4 linked regions of the Notamacropus eugenii genome follow. The protein of the gene in region 3 interacts with the protein of the main gene of each other region in a pairwise test. Links are inferred from orthologs where the notes say so. Each region holds a gene or a part of one and is shown on either strand. Other genes may lie near its edges.

Region 1 (7,847 bases), on a different chromosome or scaffold from region 3:
CATTTATGTACACAATTACTTTATTAATGGAAGTTATAGGACCCCCTGGCCAACTATTAGAACATATTATAAATGTTAAAAGAAATAAGAAATTTTAAAATGAAGCCAAATGTACAGCTTTGTAATAAAGTTCTTTCTTTTCTTTAACCAACAAATGGGAAAAAGAGCTGAAAACCAAAACACGTCAAACTTACAGCATTAGTTTACAGTTTTCTCACTCTGAAAGGCTGTGAGATTTAAAATTTACACTTGTCTTGCCCATGCTGTAACATTACCATTCAATCCAGCCCTGTGATTTAATTGGTAAAATGAACTCCTGAGAGCAACAATTCCCTCCACCAATAGAGATCATACACCACTTAGTAGTCTTCTCCCCTCTCTCCCACCCCAGCACTAAGAAATCAGGTGACATGTCCAAGGTCCCAGAGCTAGAATGTGCCAGAGGCTGGACAGGACCTGGGAGGTAAGTTAGGCTCTAAGATGATAACGTGTTAACTTCACAATAAATAAACCCAAGAGTTGTACCCATAATGGATACGACATTCATTTTTCCAATGTTAATTTTTTCATTTTTGCTTTTTAAAGCAGTGTCAAAGTAATGAATGGACTGTAAGATGCCCCAAATACTGTGAAATGTGATCTTGCAATGTATACAAATCTGTTCCACTTTAAGAAAAATATATATATAGATATACTAAAATCTAAACTTATTACTAAGATCACAGACTTTGAAGGGGCCTTAAAGGTCATTTAGTCTAACTTCTTCATTTTTGCAACAGGGAAAGAAAGGCTAAGGGAGGTCAAGTGATTTACCCAAACATACAAATGAGTAAGTGGCAAAGCTAAGGTCTCAACCTAGGTCCTCCACTAGGACTCTTCATCCTAACGTAAAAATATTAGAATCCAATTATTCGTATTGCAAAAAAAAAATTCAAATCAAGACTCCTTTAAAAACAGTGATCTGAGCAAAACCTTTCGCGACTTTTAAATCCATAGTCTCTCTGGTATAATGGGGTACTGGACTAAAATGGGAGAACAGAATTCTATTCGAGGTTCTGCTAGAGAAGTTTGGGCAAAGCATTTAACCCCTTCTGTGCTTAAGATTCTTCACGGTGAAGAGGGGGCCAAATAGAAGAATTTGGAACAGAGCTCAGCAGCAGATTCAGAGTCCTTACCTTCCATACTTCCAAGCCAGTAAGAGCCACCACACCTACTCCTGTGATCTGGTATTTACAGTGGGGGATAAACCTACCTACAATACCTTTTCCCTTGCTATAATGAAGGAATATTCAGATTACTGCAGCCTCCTCACAAACACCCCCCACGTTTTCACTGCCAGCAGGTGTCTCCCACACCCAAAGATCACTTCAAGTCCTCAGCAAAGACTGGGGTCCCGGGCTCATTCGGAAGGTCCCTTACAGATCTAAAACTCTTAGAAATTCTACGCAAAGCGAGGGGCCCCTCCACCGCCCGGTGCTAAGGACACCGCATCTACTAATGGAGGAGAACTCGGTGGGTTACAAAGGACTACTCAAAATGTTCTATTTCTGTGCGGGGGCACTCCAGGGGGCCAGGAGCCGAGCGGCGCCTGCACGGTGCTCTAAATGAAAACCTTCCTGCCAGCCTAACGCTTCCCACCAGCGAAGGCTGGCTGCGGGGCGCACAAAGGCTGGCGGTTCCCGGCCCGCTCCGGGTCTACAGGAATGCCATGTGTTCCCCAAGCAGCCGCTCTAGCCCGCTGCGTCCTGGGGCGCCAAGGCACAGACCCCCGCTCCGACCTGCTTCGGTTGGGGCTCGGAAGCCCCCGGGGTGGGGGTGGGGGTCAGCTCCCCAACTCTTCGCAGCCCGGCCAAGCCGAGCGCGTCCGGCTCCCAGGACCTCCGGGCTCACGCTCCCCCCTCCCCTCCGGCCTCTCTACAGCCCCGGCCCCAAGTCCTCCCCCTCGGGACGGCCGGGACCCGACTGCGGGCCGGGGGCCCTCCCCAGGACAAACCGACAAACTTTTCCACCCCACCACATCTGAGTTCCGCAGGACCACAAAGAAGTCAAACCGCAGCCTCCCCGACCAGCCTTCGGATCCTGCTCAGGGATTAGCCAACCACTAATCCCCTCGGGGCGGCCGGGCGCCTCCCGCTCGGCCCCACACCTCGCGCCCGCCGTTCCCCCACCTCCGTTACAGTTGGGGAGCCAAAGCCGGCCCGGCGCGGGGCCCGGGGGCCCGGGGCCCGGCCAGCGGCGCCTCCGGGGCCCGCGAAACGTTGGGGCCGGGGAGGGCGACGGTAAACGGCTCCCCACCGTGCCCGGCGCGGGCTGCGGGGGCAGAGGCGCCAACCCGGCTCAGTTCCCGCGGCGTGCGCCCGAGCCTCCCGCCAGCGTGCGGCGCGGCGCGGAGAGGAGAGGGGACGGGACGGGACGAGACGGAGAGAGGGGAGAAGGAGGAAAGAAAGGAAGAGAGGAGGGGAGGAGGGAGCGAAGCTGGGGGCCGAGGGGCCGAGGCCAGCGGGACAGTGTGGGGGCCAGCCCCCGTCCCGCTCCCCACGTTGGGGTCACCGCGTCAGGAGCGGGGAGATGGCGGGCCGCCCCTCGGTATCAAGGTCTCCTTCCCGGTCCTCCAGACGCGGGGAGCGCGGCTTGGGCAGTGAGAGGTGAGACAAGCGGGGTGGGGGCAGGGACCCTCTCCAGCCCTCACCTCCTCGCGCTCCGGCCGCGGCCGCCGCCATCTTGTGGAACCTTCATTCAAACTGGCGCGGTCTGACCGGACCGCTCAGCTGGAGGGCCGAGGCCCCGCCCCTTACCCGGCTCCGAGCGACGAGCGGGGAGGGAGGAGACAGGCCCACACGTCAGGGCATGACGGGCGCCGGTGCGGCAGCGCGCGGGCTCCCCGGACCCCGTGGCCGCTGCGCCGCGGGCTTCCCCACGGTGCCGAAGCGGGCCCTGGAGGGCGGCTGAGGCCGCGCGGCGGGAAGCGCGAGCTCCTCCCCTCTCCCGGGCCCCGGAGAGCAGATCGGAGCGTGCAGGCGGCCGAGGGCGGGACCCCGGGCCCGGGGACGTGCGTGCGACCCGAGCGGAGGGCTGCGGCGAGGCGCGCGTGTTCACGCCTGCCGGGAGCCCGGCGCAGATCGCTTTCTACACAGCTGTGCTCCTCAGTCCGCGATGACGTTCATCCGTCCTTGCGAGAGTCCTCCGCTTAGGCCCGGGTTTCGCTTTGCAGTTTTAGGGCTTTTTCCACTGTTTCTTCGACTTAGGCAGGATTTTCCTTTGACGTGACTAAACAGTGCAGGCAGTGGTCATCCCGCTTGTGACCAGTTCCGTCACTTTGCTTTCCTAACTGCAATGGTGGTTCTGCCACAAGTGCCCAGGCTCCGGGGCTGGCCACGGAAAGCCCTGAGCAGAAATCTTCCGGGTGTCTTTTGTGAACACGTCAGAGTCGGGAAAGCCAGAGCCTCCCTGCGATCCTTGGTATCGAGCAGAGCGCAAGCCCGAGGGGCACGTGGGTGCTTGTCAGGAACGTGCTGCCCACGCGGGGGGGGGCGGTGCAGGGTCCGAGCTGGGGGGTGGTCCACGCTGCCCGCGTCCTCGGCTAGCGCATCGCTCTACCAGTGCCGCCCGTACAGCCTCGGCTTTGGGCTGGTCGCCCCGGCGGAGGCGACTTCCCCAGGTGTATCCGAGCCCCCGCTGGCTGCCAGGATCCTGGCTGGTGCCTTCTCTCTCCGTTCTCTGGGTCACCGCCCTGGCACCCGCGGTTCAGTCCACCCTCCATCAGGACTGTATCACCTGTCTCTAATGCTCTGCTGCTCCAATCCCTCAGCCTCAGACTGCCCAACCGGACATTTCAGCTGCGTATCCGATACACATCCCAAACAGGGCCCAGACAGCACTTCTCTTTGCTCCTGCTTGTCGGAAAGACCACCACCCTCCCAGCCACCCAGTCTAAAACCCTGCCTCATGCTGGGCTCACTCCCACCCCACGTGGACAACTGCTAAGTCTCGATGATTCCCTTTCTACAGCACCTGTCCTCTTCAGTCCGCTCACAGCTACCACCCTAGCTCAGACTCTCATCCGCTCTCGCCTGGATTATTGCAGGGGCCTCGTGGATCTCCTTGCTTCCCTCCCTCAGCTATCAAAATAAATTTCCTTAGGTCAGGGTCTTATGTCTCCTAACTGCTTAGGAAGCTCCGGTGGCTTTCTGTGACCTATAGGATCAAATAGAAATCCCACTGTTCGACATTTGAAGCTTTCACGTACTGTCCCCTTCCTATCTACCAGTCTCCCCTCCACATACTTCATCACCATCTAGCCATACTTGCCTACTTGCCCTGTTTCCTCCCATAGGCCACTCACATTTCCCCTTTCTTGGGCCTTTGCATTGACTCTTCCCCCATGCCTGGAAGGCTAGTTCTCCTTCCCTCCTGGAACCTCACATTTCCTTCCAAACTCAGCTTAAGCATTATCTTTTGCAGGAAACCGTTCTCAGTTCTAGTCTTTTCTCCTGAAACTACCTTGTATTCATTTTGTATGTTAGAATATAAATTCTTTTCAGACAAGGTCTATTTCACTTTTGGCTTTGTCAGACGATAAACATTTATTAAGTACTTCATATGTATCAGGCACTCTGCAAAGTTATGGGGATACAAGGGAGGCAAAAACCAAGCAAGTTCTCCCTGCCCCCAAGGTTGGTTGGTGGTGGTTGTCCTTTGTTCTCCAAGAGGACCAAAATGACATGACCATAATAAAGTCACATTTCAATGTGTCCGACTGTGGCTGATCAGACCAATAAGAGCTTGGAATGCTCTGCCACTGATTGGGCACAGATAGTCTGAACATTTGGGGTGGTTACTCCAAATTTGAGCATCCTATGTTTCCTTTGTGCTGTCTTAATTCTGCTTTGCTCATAGAGCACAGCACCCTTTCTGATGTGGGCATGCCATGCTGAGCGGTCCTGTGCCAGTGTCTCCCATGTCGCACAGTCAAATCCAGATTTCCTGAGACCATGAGTGTCCTTGTATTGCTTCTTCTGACCACCATGTGATCACCTGCCCCATGTGAGTTCTCCAGAAAATAGCCCTCAAGGTACTTATGTTCTAATGGGAGATAATATATAAATTATTAGGAGGATGCAAGATATGTAGCATATCATAGATTAAGTTAGTCTCAAAGGGAAGGGCAATAGCAGCTATTGGAATGCGGGAAGGCTTTCAAAGGATAGAATTTGAGCTGGGTCTGGAAGGAAGGAAACTAAGAAGCTGAGATGAGGGGGCAGATCATTCCAGACTTGGGGGAAGGCCAGTGCAAAGGCAGAGAGAGGAGACTATCATGTTCGAGGAAATACAAGAAAGCCAAGCATAGCTGCATTGTAGAGTTTGGGGAGGAGAGTAAGGCTAGAAAGGTAGGAAGGGACCCTCTTATGACAAGTTTTAAATGCCAAACAGAAGACTTTATATTTGATCCTGGAGGTAAAAGGGAGCTATTGGAATTCACTCAGTGGACTTACACTATACAAAAATCCCTTTGGCAAATGAATGGAGGATAGATTGAGCAGGGACAGGCTTAAGAACAGGGAGACCAGTTAGGTTATTATAGTAGTCCAGGCAAGATATAAGAAAGAGCCTGAACTTAGCATGGCTAATGAGGCTATGAGTAGAAAGAAAGGGACTTCTGAGAGATGATATGAAAGTAAAATGACAAGACTTGGCAACAGACTAAATATGTGGAGGGGAGTGGGAGTAAGGAGTCAAGGGATTACACTGAGGTGTGGGTCTGAGTGATTGGGAGGACCGTGGTGCCCTTGCTAGTGATAGCAAAGTTCAGGAGAGGATGTGGTGGGAAAGATAAGAGTTCTGTTTTTGGGACATGTATTTGAGATGCCTCTAGGATGTTAATAGAGTTGTCCAAGAGGCAGTTGGAGATCCACTTGGCTGATTAAATAGATCTAGAGGTGAGAAGTGATGATGGAACAACACATGGGCATAAGAAGGGTGGGGAAGCTGTGACCCTCGAGGCCACATGTGGCCCTCTAGGTCCTTGGGGATAGCCTTTTGACTGAGTCCAAGTTTTACAGAACAAACGCTTTTATTAAGGGGATTTGTTCTCTGAGGTTTGGATTCAGTCAAAGGGCCTCACTTGAGGACCTAGAGAGATGGTAGGCCCAGGGCAAGAGTCTTAGGAAACATCGAGTCATCGAAGGAAACTGAGAAGGGCAGTTGGATAGACAGGAGGAAAATAAGAACAGTGTCATGGAAACCTAGACAGGACAGTAACCAGAAAAGATGGTGTTTTTCAGTGTCAATTCCTATTGGGATTAAGGATGATCAGAATTAAGAAAAGATTATTAGATTTGTATTCCCACTGCTTTATAGTGTGCAGGACATAAAGGGTTCTTAATAAATGGTTGTTGGTTCTAAAGTCACAAAGGTCTCCTATACCAGAGAGATGGGCAAAGGGAGAAAGTTAAAATTATACTTTACTTGTCAAACATATATACAGCAAACAATTTTCAGTACACATCAGAGGAATGCTAAATATTCTATAAAATGAAGCATCCTTTGACAAGATAAAAGCATTTTTAAAATCTGTTCCATAAATTAAGATTGTTGTATACCAAATATTTTTCTAAAATAGGCACATAATATTGTATTACTTTTCCCCCCAAAATATTTAAGTGAATCTACAATGGACAAACATAAGATGAGAAAGATGATAAAATTCAAATGGCCAAGTAGCAAAACAGGGCTACTGGGGTGATGAGTTTAATCCAGGAACTAACACTAAGTCTTTAAAACACCAAGTATAAATCACTTCATTTCTTGGTGTTTTAGCTTTCCTAGGTGATGCATTGTAACAGTATGAACTATAGTCTTGGAGTCAAAAGACCTGAGTTCCAGGTTCTAGCTCTAGCACTTTTAGCTAGAGATACTAGGACAAAACATCTAGTTTCTATGCCCTCAGTTTCCTAATATGCAAAACAGGGATAACATCCGCTCTACTTCAAAAGGCTGAAGAATGTGCTGTTGAAGCATGACTGCCCACCTCTTTTTCCTGTTAACATACCTCCCAGATGATCTATCTTAGGTTACTTTTTCCACACAGATCATCACTGGTAGTATGTTGCAGCCTATTATACATTCCTTGACCTGTGAGTCACCTGAAGCTTGATCATGTACCATGATTCATAGCTATATAGAATCAAAAGAAGAACAGTTGTTCTATAAATTTGGGTTACATGTCAGGGAGCAATACTACCTAATTAGCCATAAGCAATTCAAACTATTTTCTTCCTTCTATTCACTTCTAGGTCCAGCCAGGGATTCATCTCCAGTGTCTATGCAGGTACTGATGGTCTGACTCAATGAACTGCACATCCAGCTGCATGTCACAGGCTGAGCAACAGGTTATTCTATGTTTTCTACATTTGTTGGACTGATCTCTGAGTAACTATGAACTTCACTGAGGAAAAATAGATCATTTCAAGGCTTGACACAATTAGCATAATATCATCTTCCAGCATGTGGCTACTGGCCATCATCCATCCTTCTCTAGCACTCAGAGATGATGTTACTGACTAGTCTGTGTATATTGAAAAGATAAATGACTTGCATTCACTTCAAATTTGATTCTGTATATTTGCATGGAGAGTAATGTAGAATTTCCAGTGCTCTATTTAAAAAAAGAACTTTACATCTCAAGAAGCCCCCAGAATTGCTACATAAATGTTCACATATATGGAATTGAACTGTGTTGGTGAGTATTTTATTTCTCAAATATGCTTTTTGACTTAAACAAGTATTATGTTTTCTACTCTTCATAATTTTGATACATTTCTGAAAACAGAAAAGTACTTAGTGTCTTA
Region 2 (7,374 bases), on a different chromosome or scaffold from region 3:
TTTTAAAGACAATCTACCTTGTACATCCCACAGAAAAACTCCTTAAATCACTTCTCAACTTACTATGTGTTATGTTGTGAACTTATCAACATTTCTTAGATTTCAGATTTGTGGGATGACATAAGGAACTAAACAGTACTTTAAATGATAAGACATTTTATCTATAAACTTTGACCTCCCAATGCTTCATAAAGACTTGGTAAAAAAGAGAAAGAAATATGTATTGTTTTAGTATCAGTTGAAAACTACTTCAAATTACATGAGGTGGTTTACACTCTATGTCTCTAATGTCCCTACTAGCTCTAAGTTTCTAAGATCCTACTAATTAACCTGAATATTTCCACACCAGTTATTATCTAAGACACAATTTCAAAATTATCTGAGTTTCTGACTTTGACTCTTCTGATTAAGTGCTCAGAGAATTCGTTTCAAAGGAATACACATATATTCATTAAGCAGAATTCTCTATGTAACTGGAGCTAATTAGACCAAATTTTATGAGGTCAACTCAAACTGTCATGTAAATTTAAAAGACCCTTTTCTGAACAGTTCATTTCTGCTGAATTTGGAAGTTCTAATTTAGTGATACATTTGAATTACAATAGGCATTGTGAAACAAGCTAAAAAGGTCGGAAGTAGCTCATTCCTTGTAGCACTCCAAGAATGAATGGTTCTCAAGCAGATGTTAGGGAATCCAACCTGCAGCAGATATTTATCCTAAAATAAAGGCCAAAATCTTCTAGGTACAACCTTTCTGAAAGTAAACAACTATCTACTTTCACCTTTATTTGCTTCACATTACCCACCAATTTCAAAAATTTTACAATTTGCAGACTATTTGAGATCCAAACAGAAATTAGGAACTGAATTCCTGCTTCATTCTGGCTGCCTTAAAAGTATTCACAAAGTTTGCTTTAAAAATAAACAAATTCATGAAAAAATTATTTCTGAAAAGATTTCACTTGAATTTTTACTTATCGTATGTATTGCTGACATTCTCTATTAATATTACCTTCTCTGGCTTAGCGCTGTTCACAAAGCTCAGGTCACCACATATGTTACAAATGAAGACTTTAAGTTTGCCCTAAATGTGTTTCTCTCCTCCTCCATAATGTAACAGCTGCTGTCCTTATCCAAAACCTATTTTATTCACACAATGTAACTCCTAAAGATACATCTTGATGTTTCCTTACAAAGTATCCTGTAGACAGAGCTTTTAATAGCATTAGCTTTCACTTCACCGCAGGGAATATATAGGTGGTATTTACCAGCTCAAGGTCACATGGTGAGTCGGGACTATTTCCTCCTAGGAGGTTACTCTAACCATGCCGTCTCCATACCAACAAGACATACAGATGTAGTTTTATTCTGATACACTATACAGAAAACTTGGGAAGAATCAAACATTAAAAGCTTTCCGGCCAAGTGCTCCAGTCTTCTGCCAATCTGGTCCCATAGGCTGCATTTTTCCCAAAAGGAAAATTGAAATTCCTTGTTTCCAAAGACAGGTAATGTAGATAGGTAATATGCAAACAAACAAAAAAAGTCAAGACAACACAATGAGCACCTTCCTCGGTGGTCCGGGGAAATAAACGCTCCGGGTTAGTGCGAGCGCGTGGCATTAGGAAGTTAAGAAAGTCAAGTCCCAGAAAAGTCAGCTAAACTAGGACACAGGGAAGACATGTTATGCAACTGCCACCAGAACTACCGCGGCGAAAGTATTCCCGAAACTTAAAGAGCTTGTTGGAAACAGCGAGACAAACTTATGAAGGAGAAAGGGAAACTTACAGAGAAAAAAGCCTGGGAGAGAGCCTGGATTGAGCCCCAAGGGTATTGAGGCCTGCGTGGGACATCCCAACCAGTGACGTGCAACTGCCCCTGGGACGGGCCTGGCCCAGCTGAGCCAAACAGAACCGAGTTGTCAAGAGCCCCGGGGCCAGCAGCGCCCCAGCAGAATCAGAGTGTCTAGACTCAAGGGACCTTTTGATGGAAAAGCCCAGTTCAACATCCCCGGGTCCTCTCGCTCTCTCCGCCTCTAAGGAATGAGAGAGGCATCTCCCCCACCCCCGCCCAGGGAGGACACCGTCTCCGGACTCCTCCAGTTGCCAGCTGGGTAGAAAAGGGTAACCCTGCCCCTTCTTCACACACCACAGAAAAGCCATTCCTGGGGACGCACAACAAAGAGGCGCACCCGGAGCTTCACCGCCCGGACAAAGTCCCCGCGGCCCGTGCCCTGCCAACTTGTCCCAAACTTAGTTTGCGCTGCAGTAGAGGCGGCGGGGACGGCGGAGACGGAGTTATGGGCTCTCTGAGCCATCGCTCCACCGGGCGAATTCACCCCCCTCCAGGATGCTCTGGGACCGTCCTCGTCCCGACCCGACCCGACACCGGGTCGGGTGGGTGCTATCTCCCTCCAATGGGAAGTAGCTGGGGCGGACTAGGGGAAAACTTCCCTTCGGTCCCTCTACTCTCCGCCCCAGAGTGGGGGGCCGCCGTTGCCCTTGGCCGGAGCCAGCCCCACGCGGCGGAGCGTCGCGGACGGACGGTCCGGAACCTCCCGCGGCGAAGGTGGGGGACTGGAAGGAGGAGAGGGAGTACCCTGAGCTTGGCAGCCCCCGGACAAACTTTTGATAACTGCAGCCCCCCTCTTACACACTTAGACACACACACACACACACACACACACACACACACAATCACTCCACACCCAGCGCCTACTCACTTCCAGAGACGGGTGGGGTCTAGGAACAGCGGGGGCCGCTGACCAGCGGCGCCTCGGCGGCTTCTCGCGCTGAGCGGCCGGGCACGGGCGGCTCGGGCCGCTGCTGGCCCCGCAGGGAGGTGGGTGCCCCGGGCGGAGGCGGCAGCAGCGTAGGAGTCGCGGGCGGCGGCGGCGGGGGCTGCTGCGGCGGCGGCTGCTCCATCTTCCCCGGGCGCTCACGCCGCTGTTCCAACGCGCAGACCCAAGTGGGACATTCGCTACATTGTTGGCATTCCAAGGGCGTCACGTGACCCCGCCTCCCGCGTCATTCTCCGCCCGCATACCAGCCCGGGCGGGGCTCCTGCAGCCGCCGGAGCCGCCGCTGTGGGTCCGGCCGCTGCTCCTACCTCCTGCGCCCTCCCAGTCCCCCGTCACCCAGCCGGGGCACCGTCTCTGGCCCCGGCCAGTGACGGATTCTCCAGCTTTGGTTGCTGTTATTTCTGCACTTCTGCCCCCGCCCCACAGCTCTCCCTTGGAAAAGTTTGTAGCCCCACAGGCCCGTGCTGCCGCTGGCTTCTTTAAGGATCTCCCTGGGGCTGCCGAGGCGTAGACCCACTGGGCTGGAGGGGAAAGCGAGTCACCAAGCAGCTGGCAGTCATCAGAAACATGGCGCAAGCAAGGGGACCCCTCCTAATTCCTTAAAGGACCCATCGGACCGCGCAAAGAACGAAGGCTGTCTCTTTGCAAACCGAACTTAAGCTCCCTCCAGTCCCACTTGACCTCGTATATTTTGTTTGAACTGCAGTACAGTGCATAAAACAGTGTGTTTTCTGCTGGCAGTATTGAGTGACGTGTGTGTGTGTGTGTGTGTGTGTGTGTGTGTGTGTGTGTGTACTTTGTACAGTGCTGCGTTAGCACTTCGGGGCTGTGTACTTTGTAGCAAACGAAAATGAAGCGATTGTGCAGAGAAGCTGGGAGGGGAGTCAGATCCAGAATCTATTCCTGAATCTTCCATTATGTTTAGTTCAACAAGTTATTTAGCCTCTCTTTAAGAGAGTCCTACCTTAAAACAAGCAACGGAGTATTATGGAGGCTCTTCACGAGTTCGGTCACCGAGTGATGAAGTTTTTGAGCATGGTTAACTTTCAAAGTCTACTGAGTTACAAAGAAGTTGCATTCTGCGTTGTGGAGGTGGGCAAAAACCAATGCCAGTGAAATCATCAGTCCGTGAAATGTAATATTAACTTACTATCTCCATCTGTTAGAGGGGGACTTAATATCCACATTGAGAACTAGTTCTCATTTAACAATAAACTACTGTATTTTTTTTGAGTCATTTATACTTCCTGGGGAATAATAACAATACAGTAGATCATTGCTCCTCAGGATTATTTCAACACTGCTTCATTTGTCTTCCTACCTTTATATGCCTGGCTTTCAGGAAGTCTCCTCAGATTATTCCAGCCTGTGAGCTGTGAGTTCCTGTATTTCTATTGTGCTAAAACTAAGGTTAGAATACTATTGTATCTGGATCTTTATCACTACTTAATTGCTTAATTATCAATCAATAAATATTTGTTAAACACTTACTATGTGCCCAGTACTGTGTTAAACATTGATTATAATAGAGGCAGGCAGAATAATGGTTGGGGAGGTTGCCTAGGCCTCAGAAAGAGGTCCATGCTGAATGCCCAGGTATAGGAGAAGGAGGGTCCAATGTCCCAGTCCCTGGTGACCCAGCAATGGATCTCCCAAAGTTACATAAATAGGAAAGACCTGAGACCTCTATTTGGAGAGAGAAGGAGCTAGTAGGGAGAGGAAGAGGAAGATAAGATAGAATCACAAAGATGTAAATTGACTCTACTTGGTGCACTAGCTTGGATATGGAGGGTAAGGGAGAGTGAAAAGCTGAGGATGACTGAGGTTTCACACCTGGTTGACTGGGAAGATGATGGTTCTGTCAAAAATAGTAAGGAAATTTAAAGGATTAAAGACAGGTTTGGGAAGAAGGTGTGCTCAATTTTGGACATATTCATTTTGAGTTGGGACAACCAAGTGTCACTATCTAGCAAGCAGTTGGAGATCTAAGACCGAAGAGGTTGGGAATAATCATTTAGATTTGGGAATCTTTTTGGAGGGGATAACTGAATATAGGGGAGCAGATGAGAACAGGAAGGGAGTGAAAGTGCAAAGAGAAGTAGAGAGGACCTAGGAATGAGCTTTGGAAAATACCTAAAAGTAAGAAACTGGATATAGATGAATGAATTAAAACATAATTTATAAGGAATGACCAGATAGATAAAAAGAGAGCCTGGAGAGAGTCATGCCTAGGGAAGCAAGAATATCTTTTTAATATATAAATTCTTTCCTTGGACAGTCATGTATTAAGCTCCTATTATGTACAAAGCACTGTATTTGGTGTTGGGGGATTTATGATAATTAAGGCATGGTAGATGCCTTTTTAAAACACAGTCTAGCAAAGGATACATACACACATATGGAATAGCATACAATAATGATGTTGCAGAATGGGATTGTGTAGGAACAGAAGACAGGTACAAAGTACTTTGTGAGGTCAAAAGAAAGAGATAATTTCTAAATGAGACAATAGGGAGAATTTTCTTGGAGGAGTTAGCCAACGGTGGGGAACCTCGAGGCCACAGATTTCCCACCCCTGATAGCCTCTGAGATGAATCGTAAAGGATGACTAGAATTTCTAAAGCCAGGGTGTGGATGGGGGATGGGAAGGGGAGAGCATGCTAGGCATGAGAACCATGTAAGCAAAGACCTAGAGATGGGAATGCATCCAGGAGACAGTAAATAGTCTCTGTTAAGAAATTCAGTAAATGGGGCAAAGGATATTGTAAGAAGTTTCAGGAGTTCAGGAATTTGATTTGGGATGAATCCAGATCTGTTAGACTAGGTGAGGATTAGCTCTTTAAGATTATCATATGATTACCCTATTTTAGACAGGTCACAATCTGCCAGTGAGATTAGATTAGCTAGTTTTCTGAAAGAAAGGGTATTAACTAGGACAGAAGAGAAAACTCCTCTGTCTTCTGCCTAGGCTAGAGAGAAGGAAAGCTTCCAGTCACTGTGAAAATGGAGTAATTTGGGACCAAGAAAGGGTGAATGCAGATCCCAAGATTAGGAACAATGGGAAAAATTACATAAATTACATAACTTTTATTTAGATTAAAAGTTTTGATTTGTTTAATCTAATGGGGATTGGTGTAATATTGAGTGGGATAAATATTAAATTCTCAAGATATGATTTTAAATTAATTTTTTAAAGTTATTTTAGTAATATCTGTATTCTGTATATTGTAGTATTTATTGCAGTAGTCTAATTGTGAGCCCCTGAAAAGCAGGGCTTATATTTCTTTTTTAGGTACTTTTACCACTTGGCACCTGTTCCCATGCCTGGTACACTCTACCCCCTCATCTCTGACTCCTAACTTCCCTAACTTCCTTTAAGTCTTAATTAAAAAAGCACCACCTTCTACTGAAAGCCTTTCCTAGTCCTCCTTAACCTTAATGTCTTCTCTCTGGGATTATCGACAACTTACCCTGAATATACCTTGTTTGTACATGGTCTTGGTCTATATCTCAACTATCGCCCTCATTAGACTGTGAGCTCCTTGAGAAAGCAGGGACTGTCTTTTGCCTTTCTTTGTACTTTTCAGCACTTAGCATAATACCTGGAACCTAATGGGTGCTTAGTGGTTGTTGTCCTTATTTCTCAAAGAAGACCCAAATGACATCACTATGCTAGAGTCAAGCTCCTATGGGTCCGACTGTGATTGATCAGGCCAATATGAGCTCAGAATGCTCTACCACAGGGTGGGCACAAACAGTGCATGTGAACATTTGAGGTGGATACTCCAAATTTGCACATCCTATGTTTACTTTGTGCTGTTTCAATTCTGCTTTGCTCATAGATCACAACACCCTTTCTGATGCGGGCAAGCCACATGCTGAGTGGTTCTGTGCCAGTGTCTCCCATGTTGCACAATCAAATCCAAAGTTCTTGAGAGAGACCTTGAAAGTGTCTTTGTATCACTTCTTCTGACCCTCATGTGATCACCTGTTCCATGTGAGTTCTCTATAAAATAGTCTTTTTGGCAAGCATACATTTTGCATTCTAACAACGTGGCCAGCTTATTGGAGTTGTACTCTCTGAAGCATAGTTTGAATGCTTGGCAATTTACTTCAAGTAGGGACCTCAGCTTCTGGTACTTTATCCTGCCAGGTGATCCTCAGGATCTTCCTAAGACAGTTCAAATGGAAGCCATTCAGTTTCCTGGCATGGGACTGGTAGACTGTCCATGTTTCACAGGTATACAACAATGAAGTCAGCACAATGGCTCTGTAGACCTTCAATTTGGTAGTCAGTCTAATACCTCTTCTCTCCCATACTTTCCTTTGGAGCCTCCCAAACACTGAGCTAGCTCTGGCAATGCGTGCAACAACCTCATTGTCAATGTGTACATCCCTGGAAAGTATACTACCAAGGTAAGTGAACTTATCCACAGCGTTCAAAAGTGGTGTCCACCTGGGTGTTTAATAAATGTTTGTTGACAGACTGGGGATGGCTAAACAAATTGTGGCTAAACAAATTATTTTACCGTGCTATAAGAAATTAAGCATATGATGAATACAGAGCAAAATAG
Region 3 (7,872 bases):
TTTACTTTCATAACGAAGTCACCAAGTGCTAAGATGTGTGTTGACTGACTTTGTACAACTTGGCTGTTGAGTTCTATCATTTTTCTAGTATAAGAAATTTGGTCATGTGACTTTCATTGCTTGGGTCTCATCAACTTTCGACCTGAATGTCCTGTTTGGTATTTCTGCCTAACATCTCCCCCTCTAATTCATTCTCCACGAAGCAGCCAAACTGAGAGACCTCAAGCATGAGTCTGCCAGTCACTCATCTCACCCAGGAGCTGCAGCAGGGCTCCTTATCCCCTCCAGGATAAAATATAAGCTACGGTTGGCATTTTTACTTTACTGTCTAGTTTCAGACTCCAATCCTGGCTGTAACATATTGCCTCTCTCCTATCTTGGCTTCTGCACAAGCTGTCTGTCCCCCTTTGCCAGGAGTGCATGACTTCTTCACTTCTACCAGCTCAGATGAGCCTTTACAGGAGGCCTATACTGATCCAGGGACCTTTGGGACCCACTTCAATGCCCTCATTTTATAGGTGAAAAAGCTGAGGCCCAGAGGAGGTAAGTGACTTGCTAAGGGTCACACAGCTGGCTAATGGGACAACTAGGTGGCGCCATAGTGCATAAAGCACCTGGCCTGGAGTCAGGAAGATTTATCTTCCTGAGTTCAAATCTGACCTCAGATATTTACCAGCTGTATGACCTTGGGCAAGTCACTTCACTCTGTTGTCTCAGTTTCCTCATCTGTAAAATGAGCTGGAGAAGGAAATGGCAAACCACTCCGGTACCTTTGCCAAGAAAACCCTAAAAAAGAGTTGGACAGGAATGAAAATGACTGAACAACAACACACAGCTAAGAAGTGTCTGAGGCAGGACTGAGACTTGGGTCTTCCTGACTCCGAATTTAGCCCTCCTCCATTAGTTCACCCAGTTGCCAGTTCCCACTCCATAGCGAATTTGTATTTGCTCTACATGTATTTTTATTTACTTATCTGTGGGCATGTCACCCTCCCCTTCCCCCATATAATTTATGCTTCTCGTGGGGAGGGTTTTTTTATGCTTTGCATCCCTAGCACTGCATGGCACACAGTAGGTGCTCAATGAATTGAATATTGGCTGAATGTCACATGATTATATGGTGTTTTGTTTGCTTATGCTCAGTCTGAGCACTGTGAAGATAAGATGATCCAAATGTTACATTAAATGATGTTTTTTGTTAGTTTTGGACACAAAATCAACTCCCATTACTTGCTTCTCAGAGAAGATGCTGCAAGCCCTGGCCATGCTTAGATTGAATGCCCTCTTGTTTTGTCAATATCTAGAGTATCAGCATTGATGTGGTTCCTCTTCTCCAATAATGTGTCAGCTTGTTAGTCACTGGACAAAGATGGAACTCAGAATATCAACAGTTAAGTTTATGTTTGTTGGTGATTCCCAGCACCTTCTGTCCCTTCCCCACAGATCTCCAACACTGAGGAAGTTCTGGAAGGCTGTTCCACAGGACCTTGGGCCATTTTCTATGGGTCACTGCCCAGTCCAAAAACAAACCACATAGTGGTCTTGTTTTCGTGTAAAGACGTTCATTGGCTTTCATTAGACTGGTCCTCCAAGGACTGACATCACCAAGGCCGCATTCAGAACTTTTCTTGGTTGGTAGAAAGGGCCAGAGCTTGCACTGCATTGGCCAAACTTAGAGAAACCTCTGGTCTCCTCCATACCACAATGGCATTTGTGGTGGCGGGCACCAGTATCCCAGTCCAGTAACACGCTGCTGAGTGGAAGTACCAGGAGGAAGGCAAGACAACAGAAAGCGAAATGAAACTGTGGTGGCCAAACCCGATCTGGGAGTGGGGGTGGGGCAGTGGGAGAGTGACCGCCTAGGCCAGCTTAATTTGTAGATGAGAATCATTGGAAATGAGCACATTCGTTGTGTCTATGCAAATGTTGCTCAAAGTGCTTGCAGATGGCTTGTCCAGTAAATAGGTTAAATATTTGCCCAGCAAAGTAATGCAGTGCAACGCTGCTAAGTTTTAGCAGCCAAGATCTTCTGACAGGGATTGGCCAAAGGTAAACTTTATAAAGGTCAAATCACACTGACCGCTGAAGGTGGGGGCTTCTACCTTCTGGAGCATTGTGGCTCCTGAGCAGGACCTTGTGCTGGCGAAGTCTTCAAAGAGCTTACTAACTGGGGTTGGGAGAGAGATGAGGTGTGGGGTGTAGCTGCTAGCCACATGGTTATCACCTCCCCCATGGTCATAGTGAAGGAATGGGCGGAGAGGTGGCCTTGATATGGAGGGGAAACCTATTGCAAATGTGGGTCCAAGGCTGTGATTACACCAGGGCCTCCCCTCTCCCTGCCTCAGGCACACTCACTGCTGCTAACCTGGCTGACGCCAGGTGCACCTGCAAATCCCGGATCCCACTCCCTTGGGAACTTAGATGTTCTCCTCTTTCCTCACACTCCCCAGGCCTTGCACCCCACGAGGTGCAGCTCCCACGTGGTCACACCCGAGCACTTTGAGCCGCAGCTGTCTAGAGTGCGGGTTCCCCCCCCCTCGAATTCAGACCCCAGTACTCACGGACACATTGCAGGCCCTTGCGAATGACACCCCAGATGAAGTCCCCACAGAGGTCGCACCAAGTGTGGGTGCCGGGCCCTGACGGACGGAAGCAGTGGCCCCGGCCGGGTCCGGCCGTGAGTCGGGGGTCGCTGTGGCCGCCCAGCAGACGGATTTGCCGGCCGCGAGGCAGCACGTCTGGGCCGCGGCCCGGGGCGATGCGCAGCGCGTTGGCGCGCTCCAGCCGGCCAGGGCTCCGCGGGCCCGGGCTCCGGCCAGGCTCTTGGCCCCGCAGCCCGTCGGGGTACCGGACCAAGTTCCGCAGCTCTATCAGCTCCGGCTCCGCAGACATTATCGCCTCTCCAGGCGTCCCTCTGCGGGCGGCTGCCTGTTCTGGCCACTTCTGTCCCTCGGTGCTCTTCAGCTGGGATGGTCACTGCTTCGTTCTGCACTTCCTCCCCCTCCCATCCCTCCCCCCTCCCCTCCCCCCCAGCCTAAGTTCAGCGTCTGCCTTTGCCTGCAGTTCTCTGCCCGTCTCGATCTTTGCCTCTCGGACTCAGTGGACCGCTAAGCACCCTGGCTCTCGGGCCCTGTCACTGCAGGGGGCTCCCTCGCCTTGTGGGTCCTGGGATGGGTAGCAGAGGTGTTGGCCTCCTTCTCCCCCTCCCATCTATGGGTCCCAGATTAGGGCGGAGCCGGCCCTTCCAACTCCTAGCGCCTTCCGAGGCTGGAGTCCGCTCCCCCGCACTCCTGTCCTCGGCCCCCACTTCGAAGGCTCGGGCAGCACTGGACCACCGGCCCCGCCCCAACCCGGGGGCCCTGCCTCCGTTTGCTGAGATCCCCAGAGCCAAAACCACGCAATGGAAACTAGAGTCTGGGAGGGGGCTGGCAGAACTCAGCCTTTGACTGGGGGCGGGAAACGAGTGCAGGGAGGGGCCAACCGGAGGGGAGGAGATCCGAGCGAACCATACCAGAAATGTGCAAGTTGGGATGAAAGAGCCAAGGGGGGTGGGGTGGGGGGCACTTCAGCCGTTACAGGGAAAGCAAAGAGGGAGGGGGCAATGGTCGTCTCTTCTCCCACAAGGGGAAGGAAGTTGGACCTTAGAAGCACCAGTGCTCCGTGTGGACCTGAACCTAAGAAGGGGCCCAGCTGACCCTGGCTCCTCGAGCAGCATCCCGCCCACCTCGGCTGGGGTTGCTTTTCCCCTCCTTCCCTTTCTCTTGGAGGCCCAGCTGGGCCCCACAGGAAGCAGTCTCAGCCTTCTTCCAAAGCCATCCCCATCCCATCACCAGGCAGGCCTTAGAAGAGAGAGGCCAAGCTAGGGCAGTTTCTCACTGCAAACAGACAGAAGCTTCTTTCTCAAAAGAAGGCATTTACTGTGCTCTAGAGAGAGGAAGAAGGTACCCCACATCCGCACTTTCCTGCCACAGACTCTCAGAAAGCAGAGGGAAGTCTCAGCAACCCGACCTTACTCCCTCCTTTCTCTAGGTGCTGGAAGGACTCACCCTACCTAGAATTCCCCCTCCCCCTTCGCCAGGACAAGAAGAAAGAGCTAAGGATCTAGCGAAGTACCCTGCCCCACTCCCAGGAATCGAAGGAACCATCCTTGGTTCTAGACTCATGTAGTCTGGGCTTTCCTGGGAGCTGCAGGGCTAGGCAAGGATGATTGGGTTACCAGGGATTCAGAGCAGGAAGGGCACAAAGCAAGTAGTGGCCTCTGCCTGATTGGGGAGCCTGCAGACCAGTCTGGCCTGGGGGGCTAGGGTATGTGTGTGTATGGGGGAGGGGCACATAGCTGGCATAGTGGGCACTCTGGGGGCTTGGTATGATGGGATACCCAGAGGGGAGATGAGCAGCAGTTTCTACTACGCTTTGACCTCCTCCTTCATGCTGTCCAGCATCTGGGCCATTAAGTTACAGGATCTTCGGTGTTTCTGCCAGTGTTTTACCTGGCATTCCCTGTTTAAGAGGAAAAGGAGCAACTGAAGGCTCAAGGAGGTTCTGTTTAGCTGTTATCCTAAGAAAGGAATGGGTTCATGGGCCTCAGGGACTTGGCCCTTTTGCCTTGATCCTGGGCCTCTGAATGGGAGCTCCTGGAGCCCAGGATCCTCCTGAGCCCTTGGATCAGTGTTTGGGGAGGTTCTACTTCCTGGGACAGGGAAAAGAAGAAGGGGGTTGAAGTCCTGGGCAAGCGGATTTGGGCACAGCGGTGAACATACCGATTACAGTACCACTCGTTCTGGCACCGAGAGCATCGCTTGGAGGCCTCAGCCTTGCAGGAGGCACACTTGGGTTTCTCAGGGCTCAGTGCCTCCATCACATCCAACTTGTAGGTCTCTGCCCATCTGGAGAAAAACAGAGGAAACGGGGGCCCCAAGAAGTGTAACCAATATGACCACACTGTCTGGTCTGGGGGTTTTGTCAAAGAGGCTGGGTTATACACTTTGAGGTGATATCCCATAATACTGCCTGGATTCTTATGTATCTCCATGTTTTTTTCCTGGTTGGGGGTCTGGGAGGGTGACTTAAACTGAATTTGAAATCAGAGGATATGAGTTTAAATCTAGATTCTGCTACTTGCTGCCTTTTTGACTATGGACAAGGGTTTTCCCTTCTCCAGCTCTCAGTTTCCCAGGAAGTTCAAGTAAAGAAACCTAGGGGCTACACCAAGTGGTCCCTCAGGTCCTCTCCTGCTCTAAATTTCAGGGTCAGATGATTAGTCAGGTATGTAGAAGTGGTACTTCTCCAGACCAGCCATGGTATTATGAGGCTTCCTGATTGGCTGACAGGGATCTGGGAGATACAGAACAACCCAATGATCTTGATCCGAGGAACCCAAGTGGGTGAATCCCAAATCACTGTTATTGGGGACTTGCTCTGGGATAGAAGAAACCATTCCTGACTGTGGCCTATGAACCAGAGGAAATCTTGGGCTGAACCTGGTGAGGGAAGCATTAGCTAGACAGATGTGCTTGAAAACTAAGTTCCTGCCTAACCTGGAATTGGGTCAATTTCTTATCCACACATGTCTAATCATCCTGCCCTGGAATATTTCTTTTGAATGGATCATCTAGTTTTCCTCATAAAACACATCTTGGAAAACTTTTCTTTTGGGAGGTGTGGCCAATAAGGGTATTAAGTACAAGAAGAAGCAGAGGCCAGTCATGGTAGTAGAAACAGCAAAGGGGCCAAGAGCTCAGGGGCCTAGGACAGTTGGGGAGCTCCAAGCTCAGTCTGAGATTTAGAAAGCAGGGAAAAGTGACAGACCTGACCCAGGCTGAGGGCAATAGCCCCATCTTGACCAGCCTGAGGAGGAAGGAGCTAGTGCTCTGTGAAGTTTTCAGGCATCAGGGACCCCTGAGACTCAGGGCAAATCCCTCTTAAGGGTGGGTGAGTTTGGCATTGCCCCCCAACCTACCTTCTGGCCTGTAGACGTAGTTCCTGCTCAGAGAGAGTAAAGACGTGCTTCAGCTGGTATTTTGCAATGGAGAGCCACTTCCCCCCATTCTTCTTCTCTAGCCGGCTCCAGATTTCTGGGATCTGTGGGGAAGGGCCATGGAACAGGAGAAGGCCTTGACTAGCAAGTCCAGGAGCCAATGAATATGGCAGAAGGTGTCATGCATAATACGTTTGACTGTGCCAGTAAGAGAACCGAGGGGTTTGCCCTTATTGACAGTCCTCTTACCACTGGACCCCACTGTCCAACAGGACACTGACCAGTCAGACTCCTGTTCTAGGCTTTTCCCCCTCGATACCTGCTCCATCACCAGGTCCTTCTTGGGAGGGAGGGGTTCAGTAAGTTCCAGGTGGCTCAGGAAGCGCTGTAGATCCATCAGGTTGGGTATCTGGTCCAGCAAGATATCAGTGAACAAGGGCCGGAGCTGGGAAACAGAGCCATGGAAAGCAATGAAGAAGATCCAGGGAGCCCAGGTGAAGACCTCTGAAAGGTTCCCTAATACCCTGGATTCTGTCCTCCAAGCCTCACCTGGGAATGGGGAGACACTGGGCTAAGCAGGCACTACTCTCAGACATGAGGACTTACAGCTGATGAGCTAGGTTTTCTTTGCACTTAGGGCAGTCATGCATTAGTATGCTGAACATCCAAGCAGAACCTTGCCATGGAGGGGAGTGTGTGTGTGTGTGTGTGTGTGTGTGTGTGTGTGTGTGTGTGTGTGTGTGCGTGTGTGTTGTGTGTGCTGGGGGCAATGGTGACAGAGGAGAAAGAGGTTGATGCCCAAGGTCTGAAGAGGATGCATTGAGGTGGCTTTCTCAGGAGGGAAGGAGTCATTCTAGTGGGTGCAGTGACCTGGGGATCCAGGATCCTCTCTGATACTAGTGGGGTAGGGTAGGTAGGAGGGAGAGAAAGTGCCCTGGGCTCAGGAGCCATGTCAGCTGACTGAATCAAACTTAGCCAACACTGAGACCCCTGTTCAGGGCCCTCCACCAAATCCAGCCACCTGGAGGAGTTTGCTCTTTCACCTCCCTAGACAGAATGAAGGAAAGTTTTTGAAAACGGCCACCCTTCCCCTCTCTGGGTTGTGACCAGTTGGTGAGGGTGGCAGCAGCAATGGCTGTGCTAGCTACAGGAGCTGGGAAAATGGAGAGAGTTGGAGTAGAGTGACTAGGAGCCCAGGGGGGAGGCCATGGGGCATCTGTGAAGGCTGGATGCCCTCTGTTCACCCCTCCCCCATGACACTCTCTGCATGACTCACCTTAAGGAGCTGGTTCTTGTTGAAGCCAGTGAGGTCATACTTGGGTTGGCATTCAGGGCTGAGCAGCAGGTTATACAGGGCAATCCACACCTGACCATCTAGCTTGGTCAGCTTCGAATAGTCCGAGGCGTTCACAGTTTGCCACTTGCCCCCCTCAAACTTCTTCAACTGGCCTGAGGAAAAAGCAATGGAGAGGGGAATGGGAGAGGTGGGAGGAGACAACAGAAGGGAGAATAAGCCTTGTGCCAGGAGGCTGCTCTAAGCCCTGTCGCTGCCTTGCTTTAGAATCCTGGACAAGGCTCTCCATTTCTTTGGGCCTTAACTTCATGATCTATAAGATAAAGGGCCAAGGACAGCCTGCATCTAAATCCTCTTCAGTTCTGAGATTCTCCATCCCTTGGCTACAGGATGCACAGGCAGATGTGGCCTGAGTCTAGATCCTACTGGGAAGTGGCAAGGTTTGACTTTTCAGACATAGTTATGGAATTCAGAGAGATTGCTATTTGCTTTTGCTTACTCCCAGCTGTCTTTAATCAAAAGAGCATATCAAATGCTCTAGAGAGTCACTGTTCTCGATCAGAAGTGTCCCAGACAGAGCCGGCATTTGTGACTGTCCTCT
Region 4 (7,406 bases), about 520 Mb from region 3:
TGTTTATGTGTACTACCCTATATGTGGGAAAAAAGACTTTTAAACAGGAGAAGGTCACAGAACTCACCCAGCTTCCAGACCAGAGGAGGTCAGTAGGGTTTGTCAACTTATAGTTGAAATAAAAGGTGGTAGGTAAGAAAACACCACCAGGGCAGCATAAATAGAAAGCTTTAGGAATCTTAAGATCAGAGAAGTTTCATGGAGGAGATGGAATTTGTTAGCACTGAAGGAGGAGAAAGAGCTGGATTTGGAGTTTGAGGATCTGCCTTCTAACCTTGGCTCTGTTGGGGAACTCATTTCACCTCTGTAAGCCTCGGTTTCCTCATCTATAGAATGAGACAACTGGATTAGGTCCCTTCCAACTCTAGATATAGGTCTTTCAAGCTCTTAAACTATACATTATGATTTATTTATTCAACAAGTCCATTACCAGAATTAGGAGACACCAGGGCTCAAGTTCCAGCTCTGGCACTTACTAGCTTAATGTGATGGTTTGCTTGAGCCGGCTCAGGGTTTCCTTATCTGTAAAATGGGTAAAAATACTTGTAAGATTCACCTTCTGGGCTGTTTTAATAATAACAGCTAATTAATAATAATAGCTAACACTTACTATGTGCCAGGCACTGTGCTAAACTCTTTACAATTATTATCTCAAATGATTCTCAAAACCCTGGAGGTCAGTGTTATTATTATCCCTATTTTAAGGATGGGGAAACAAGTAAACAGAGGTTAAGTGACTTGCCCAGGTTCACAAAATTAGAGAAAGGTGTCAGACTGAATTTGAACTCAGGTCATCATGACTCCAGGCCCAGTTGCTCTAGCCATTGTACAGGATTCAAATATATGGAAACACTTTGGAAACCTTAATAAAACACTTTGTGAATATCAGTTATTATTATTCATTCAGCACTCACTCAAATGGATCAATAAGCTTGTTGTTTTACAAATTCCCTGCAGTGATACAGATCAAAACTATACAGGACTGCCCAGTCTATTCAGCTCTTTTTCAGGTCCCCTTATAAGTTCAACAAACCGAGGCAGACCTTTTTCCATTTCTCCAGATGTCATAACAATATGTACCTACCAGTGGAGCACTCAAAGGATCCAATTTGTCGTGCCTCAACTTCACCTCCAGCTAAGTGTATTTTTCAACTCCGAGGTACCACATCACACCCATCAGATTGGCCAACATGACAAAACAGGAAGATGATAAATGTTCAAAAAGATGCGGGACAGTTGGAACACTCATTCATTGTTGGTGGAGCCATGAGCTGATCCAACCATTCTGGAGAGCAATTTGGAACTATGCCCAAAGGGCTATATCCTAAGGCTGTATCCTAAACAGATCATAAAAATGGGAAAAGGACCCACATGTAAAAAATATTTATAGTAGCTCTTTTTGTGGTGACCAAGAACTGGAAATCAAGGGAATGCCTATCAACTGGGGAATGGCTGAACAAGTTGTGGGATAGGAATGTAATGAAATACTATTGTGCTATAAGAAATGATGAACAGGCAGACTTCAGAGAAACCTGGAAAGACATATATGAACTGAGCTGAGTGAAATGAGTAGAACCAGGAAAACATTGTACACAGTAACAGCCACAGTGTTCAAGGATTGTTTCTGATAGACTTAGCCCTTCACAGCAATGCAAGGACCTAAAACATTCCCAAAGGACTCTTGAGGCAAAATGCCATCCACATCCAGAGAAAGAACTATGGAATCGGAATGCAGAATGAAGCAGAATATTTTCTCTTGCGTTATGTTTTGTTTGGTTTTGGTTTGGTTTTTCTCATGGTTTCTCCCATTCATTTTAATTCTTCCATGCAACATGACTAATGTGAAAATTTTTTTATGTTTAATAAGAATGTATGTGTAGAATTCATATAAGATTGCTTGCTGTCTCGGAGAGAGAGGGGATGAAAATTTAAGACTTATGGCAGTGATTGTTAAAAACTAAAAATAAATTAAATTTTTAAAAAAAGATAGGTCCTTTTTTTCCCCAATCACATTTGCATTATGACATTCTTTACTCCATTTCACTCCTAAAGTTCATTATTTGTCATATGCTGCAGCTTATTTACACCTACAATACACCTTTGTGGGTTATTATTACCCTCTGTGTGTAGTTTCATTTATGATTTCTTGAAATAGAGCTCTGAAAAACCAGGCTTTGAGAAAGCTCCTTGTGATTCAAATAGAGCTACTGACTATGCCTTTAAACTCAAATCACTCTGACTCTCACAGATTGGCCAGGTCCCAGTTCAAGCCTTGCTTGGTCATTGTTTGTGTTTTGATGGCTCTGAGTGTGTAAATTGTTATTGTTTCTGTTCTAGACATAAATCCTGTGGGTCTTCCCTTCCCAATTTGACTTTTTTTTTTTTGAGTATGTAAACTAGGACATCTTTTGACTAATTTCTCACCTAGCCTTAGCAGCACCATCTACAATCATACTGATCTATTTCTTTCCACTGGACTCAGATGGCTCCAGAGGAGAAAGTGAGGCTGGTGACTTTGCACAGCCCTCCCTCACTTAAATCCAATTCACAAACAAGTCATGGCATCACCTTCCTAGTACCATGATCCTCTTTGAGAATGAAGAATAAACATCTATGTAATAGTCATTGTGTTCCTGCCCAATTCCAAAATGATTGGAGGGGAACTGTTAGAGTCTGAAAAAGTGAAACATCCAAAAGAATCTTGGAATACTAGAATAACCGAAGTGGGACATTACAAATCATGTAGTCCAACCCCTTCATTCTCCAGAGGAATCTGAAGCCATGAAAAAGGAAGTTACTCTCCAAGACCATATAGTGAATCAGTTCACCTCATTGGTGCCATAATAGACCTTGGAACCAAGGATGATCTCTAGGTTGAGGTAAAAGTTAAATCAAATAAAAGGTCAAGGTTACAATAACCTTAAAGAAACCATTACTGTTCTCTTAGATTTAGCATTCCAAGAGAGTGGTCACATCTGAACCTGAAGTGAAACTGTCCTCTATTTACTAGATATTGGCCTTGGGAAGCTCACTTTGCATCTCTAAACATTAGTTTACCCATCTATAAAATGGGAATAGATAATACTTTCAACAGAGGAAGCTAAGTGGCTAGAGTACTGGGCCTAGAGTCAGGAAGCCCTGAGTTCAAATTTGACCTCAGATCTTCACTAACTGTGTCACTTAAACTCTGTTAGCCTTAATCCACAGGAGAAGGAAATGGACAACCATTCCAGTATCTTTGCCTAGAAAACTCCAGGGGGAGTCACAGAGTCAGACATGACTGAACAACAATTCTTTTAATACTCACTTCCCAAGGATATTGAGGAGAGCTCTTAATAAACACTAACGTATTACAGAAATGTGAGTTATTATTAGTGATAGGAATAAAAACTTATTTATCTGGCATTTTACAAAACACATTCTCTACAGCAGCAGCCCTGTGAGGTAGATAGATCGTGTAAAAAATATGATCTAGCTCTGTCGCTTCCAAATGAAAAGAGACATGGGTTCAGGCTGGGACCAGATAATTACTGGCTGTGTGTAAGTAAGGAGGATTCTGTCGTCTTTTCAGAGGGGAGTGTCTCAGGATCCGCTGCCAGGGCAATGTCTAGTTTCTGAGTGTTAGATGCTAACTCCCTAAACGGCCCCCAGGGTCACGGGTGGTCACTCCTAGGATCACAGCGGTGGGCAGTCCTAGGCAGTGAGATAGCGATGATGGCACCGCTGGCACTATGCCTTATGGAGAGTGGGCACTGGTCAGCACGTGGGGAATGCCTAGAGGAATGCCCGCACCTGCCTCCACCTGCGGCACCGAGGCTACGGAGGAGGACGGGCAGGGCACAGGGCACGCGGGCGCCCGGCTCCGTGGACGCCCCCCTGCCGGAAGGGGGATTAGGAAGTGGTGTAGGTGCCCGGTGCACCCATCGAGAACACCAGCCTAGAATAAGCTCAGACCAGGAACCCCCAGCTGCCGTCCCGTCCTTCCTGCCGGGCCCCACCGCCTCTCCTGAAATCAGGGGTCCAACTGCGTGACTGCTGCGCTTCCTTCCAGGACCATACCCTGCCGCAGCAGGGCTTACGGCGACACCGCAGAGATGCCACTGGCCTAGGACCGTGGAGGAAGGCCTGGGCTCGAATCGCAGCTCTGGCGCTTACTGGCTAGGAGACCTTGCACTAAGTACTTCCCCTCTCTCCCGCCCCAGCTTCCCCCTCTGTAAAATGGGCACGTGGGTCGCTGCCGCGTGATCGCCATGCCCTCTCTACTGCCCAGCACTGAGACCCTGGCTGAGGCGCCGAAGGCCGCGGGGCTGCCAGGCACTAGTACAGACCCCTGGCTGCCCCCTTGCGGGGCCTCTCTGGCAACGGTATACTTACTCTCCCGGCCCCGCCCCCGAGGGGCACGTGATCCAGGCCCCGCCCACTGGGAGCCTCTCCACCTCCTCCACCTCCCCCTCCCTTCCCCTCCCCTCCCCTCCGCGGCGGCCCCACCAGCCCCACTTCCGGCCCGGGCGGAAAGCGGAAGTGTCGGAGGGACCGGTTGGGGATGGGGCAGTAGCAGGTTCGAGCTGCCGGCGGCCGCGCTATGGAGACGGTGCAGTTGAGGAACCCGCCGCGCCGGTGAGTGTGTGTGTGTGTGTGTGTAAGTGTAAGGGGGAGGAGACGAATATGTGTGAGTGTGTTAGGGGGAGACTACGTTTGCGAGTGTGTCGGAGGAGGCTGTGTGTGTGAGAGGAGAGGCTGTGCGCCAGTGGGAGGGGGACCCGTGTGGGCGTGAATGTGTGAGTTGTGAATGAGGGGTGAGGAGAGTGCGTGTGTGAGAGAGGTGCTATGTGTGTATGTGAGTGAGAGGAAGGGGGTGTGTGTGTGCGTGCGCGCGCGTGTGTGTGAGCGAGTGCGGGAACACTGTGCAGACCTCGAAGTGGGGGCCGGAGGGCCGTGGATGGGGTTCACCGTGAGGAGGAGAGGCTCCCTACGAGCCCAGGGATGGCAGGAGGAGCCTGTGGGAAAGAGTTAGTCCGAACGATACCTTTGCTGGGTTCCCCGTCCAGTACTGGGGAAGTGAGAAGGGTGCTGGGTAAACATCTAGGTGATCTGCATTAAGAGGACTGTCCTCCTGATTGAGTTATCATCCTTCAGAGCTAGAGTCTGAAGTGACCCACAAGCGCTTTCTTTATATTCTCCTCATAGACTTTTAAAATTCAGTCTGCCACCTTGGGCACAGAGATGGACAGAAGGGAAAGTAGTGTGCACTTCTAAATCTGTGATTCTGACATTTCTGAGGACCCTTCTCTATCTGTGTTTTAAGGTTCCTTCCACTTCTGAAGTTTTGGATCTGAAATAATAATGCCCTGTCAGTAACAGAGCAAATGCTGTTTGCCTCCCTGAGTTAGGTTCTCACACGTGTGTCAGGGATAATGAAATAAGAGCATTCTTACTTTGCTCAAACTTGTGATTTGTGAAATGACAAGGCAAGGTCGACTTTACTTTGCTTAAAGTAGTCATTTGTTTAAAAGTAATTTCTTCACATATACTGACATTAGACAGTTAAGACTCAGAGCTTGTCTTCAGTAAACTGTTGATACTACCCTCAGGATTCTTTGGATGGCATGTGCCCATACTTTGTTCATGTTGGCAAAGAGCACTTTCGGTACGAGTTACAGAACTACTGACTGATCACCGAGGCTAAGTTTAAAGGCTGGTTTAAAGGATTGGTGACAGTGTATATGACAATATATGCAAAAAACCACATGTGTAACTTTTCAGGTTATCATTTGGACTATGCGCAAGCGTTTAAGAACTCTTGATATTTTGGATCTCTGGTCTCTTACTCTTACTTCAGAGAGTAAATTGATGCTTTCTCATCTTGTACGATTCTTCTCTTGTTTCTGTAATTTCTCCATGAAGGACCTGCTCAATGTGCTTAAGACCTTCCTGGAGTTCTTTGAATATCACAATATAGCATGTGGTCTGTCCATCTGTTTCCAGAAAAATAGAAAAAGTAATAGATTGTTCGTTTATTTTAAAAAAAGATGATTAAGAAGACATCAGTCATTGTCAACATGTTTTTGCTTATTTTCTCATTTCTAAAATCTTTTGAGAATTGTTGATCCTTGATGAAGACATGACAGAGGAATGGGTAGACTGTGAACAAGGACTTTCCACAGCAAGTTACATCTTCATAGTAATATAGTTGATTAAGAAGTACAGAAAAATGTAAGATTCTACTGTGTTTATCATTTTCTAAAAATTGGTAGAAAAAATGCATCCCTAACACCTTTACTCAAATGAGAAATTTCCATATAAAGATTAAAATGTTACACAAATGTTAAAATCGTGTAAGATTCCATGATAGGCACTCCTAGGGAGATCATTTCATTGATCCACTAAGTGTCAATCTCACAAAACAAGTAAGACACATGTTCTTGTAAATTGTTCACAAGTGTCATAGAAGCTAACCTACATACAACCCAAATAGAAGAGCGATTTCCTGTCATTAGCAAGATTGTCTTGATACTGCTAATGTTTATACATGACATTGTTCTGATTACCTTGAGTTCCAGAGTGCTGCAGGAAGATCCATAATCATTAATTGTTTTGGTTGTTTTTTTCCCTGTATAGATGTGTAAGCAAAAGTCACTGAAAAAAAAAATATGTTGCCCAGGCAACATTTAGTGAAATAGGAAGTTCACTGTGATAATTGATCATTATAGATAAATTTGGACGAGTGTTATGTTATGAATGGATAATGAGATGAACTTCGAATTGAGTAGGAGGAAAAGATCGGACTGAATCATTTGGGAATTTGCACCTCCTTGTTAGTGTCTTAAGTTGCTCTCTGCTGTAAAAGAATAACTCTAATGCTAAAATTCTGCCATTGATGCTAATTATCTGTCAAGTCATCACGCTCCACTATCTCAGGAAAATCAAGGTTGAAGGTACTCTGGATGTCAATGGAAAGATGCATGGGACTTGTAAAGCTGTAGCATTTTTCCAAAGATAACTCGGGGGTGAGAAGCAGTATTAAATTAAATTACTAAGAACCTTTTTTGATTGAAATCTTTATTGATGATGTAGTAATGCCCAGGTGTAAAAATTTCAGTCTGAAAATTTTGGGGGAAATACAGATGAAACCAGTAGTTACCTATCCTTTAAAAATAATTGTTTTTATCTTATCATTGTTGATATGTTTTGTTTCTTTATTACCAGAAATTCAGAATCTATCCCTACCTCCCACATTTCCTCTTGTGACAAAGATGAATGGAAGCAGTTCAGCAAAGCCAGTTGTCATACCACCTGTGTCTGACAGAATATAAAATGTTCCTCCTCCTCTGTGACGAATAGAGGGAGATGCATTTTCTCAAGTCTTCTCTGGGGCTAATCTTTGTCCTTATAATTACACGGGATTC

The links.
Region 1: the proteins of RASSF1 (region 3) and SUV39H2 interact in a two-hybrid assay, tested with the Homo sapiens proteins (2 studies listed by BioGRID and IntAct). The link is inferred for Notamacropus eugenii from reciprocal best matches to the Homo sapiens genes RASSF1 and SUV39H2.
Region 2: the proteins of RASSF1 (region 3) and LATS2 come close enough for resonance energy transfer, tested with the Homo sapiens proteins (2 studies listed by BioGRID). The link is inferred for Notamacropus eugenii from reciprocal best matches to the Homo sapiens genes RASSF1 and LATS2.
Region 4: the proteins of RASSF1 (region 3) and STK4 interact in binary tests that used the Homo sapiens proteins (3 or more experiments, as listed by UniProt). The link is inferred for Notamacropus eugenii from reciprocal best matches to the Homo sapiens genes RASSF1 and STK4.

The regions. Positions count from the first base shown.
Region 1 is NC_092874.1:166,643,016-166,650,862, forward strand, and holds the start of SUV39H2 (histone-lysine N-methyltransferase SUV39H2), read right to left. Parts: upstream 3,007-7,847; 5' UTR 2,721-3,006; coding exon 2,690-2,720; intron 2,331-2,689; exon of another isoform or gene 1,183-2,330; coding exon of another isoform or gene 1,176-1,182; intron 1-1,175. UniProt on the Homo sapiens protein: Histone methyltransferase that specifically trimethylates 'Lys-9' of histone H3 using monomethylated H3 'Lys-9' as substrate.
Region 2 is NC_092876.1:188,106,249-188,113,622, forward strand, and holds the start of LATS2 (serine/threonine-protein kinase LATS2), read right to left. Parts: upstream 3,007-7,374; 5' UTR 2,723-3,006; intron 1-2,722. UniProt on the Homo sapiens protein: Negative regulator of YAP1 in the Hippo signaling pathway that plays a pivotal role in organ size control and tumor suppression by restricting proliferation and promoting apoptosis.
Region 3 is NC_092872.1:4,982,687-4,990,558, reverse strand, and holds the start of RASSF1 (ras association domain-containing protein 1), read right to left. Parts: upstream 3,007-7,872; 5' UTR 2,893-3,006; coding exon 2,562-2,892; intron 1-2,561. Other genes in the region: ZMYND10 (zinc finger MYND domain-containing protein 10), read right to left, coding at 4,407-4,500, 4,761-4,886, 5,960-6,081, 6,297-6,422, 7,254-7,426. UniProt on the Homo sapiens protein: Potential tumor suppressor. Required for death receptor-dependent apoptosis. Mediates activation of STK3/MST2 and STK4/MST1 during Fas-induced apoptosis by preventing their dephosphorylation.
Region 4 is NC_092872.1:521,326,833-521,334,238, forward strand, and holds the start of STK4 (serine/threonine-protein kinase 4), read left to right. Parts: upstream 1-4,400; 5' UTR 4,401-4,582; coding exon 4,583-4,617; intron 4,618-7,406. UniProt on the Homo sapiens protein: Stress-activated, pro-apoptotic kinase which, following caspase-cleavage, enters the nucleus and induces chromatin condensation followed by internucleosomal DNA fragmentation.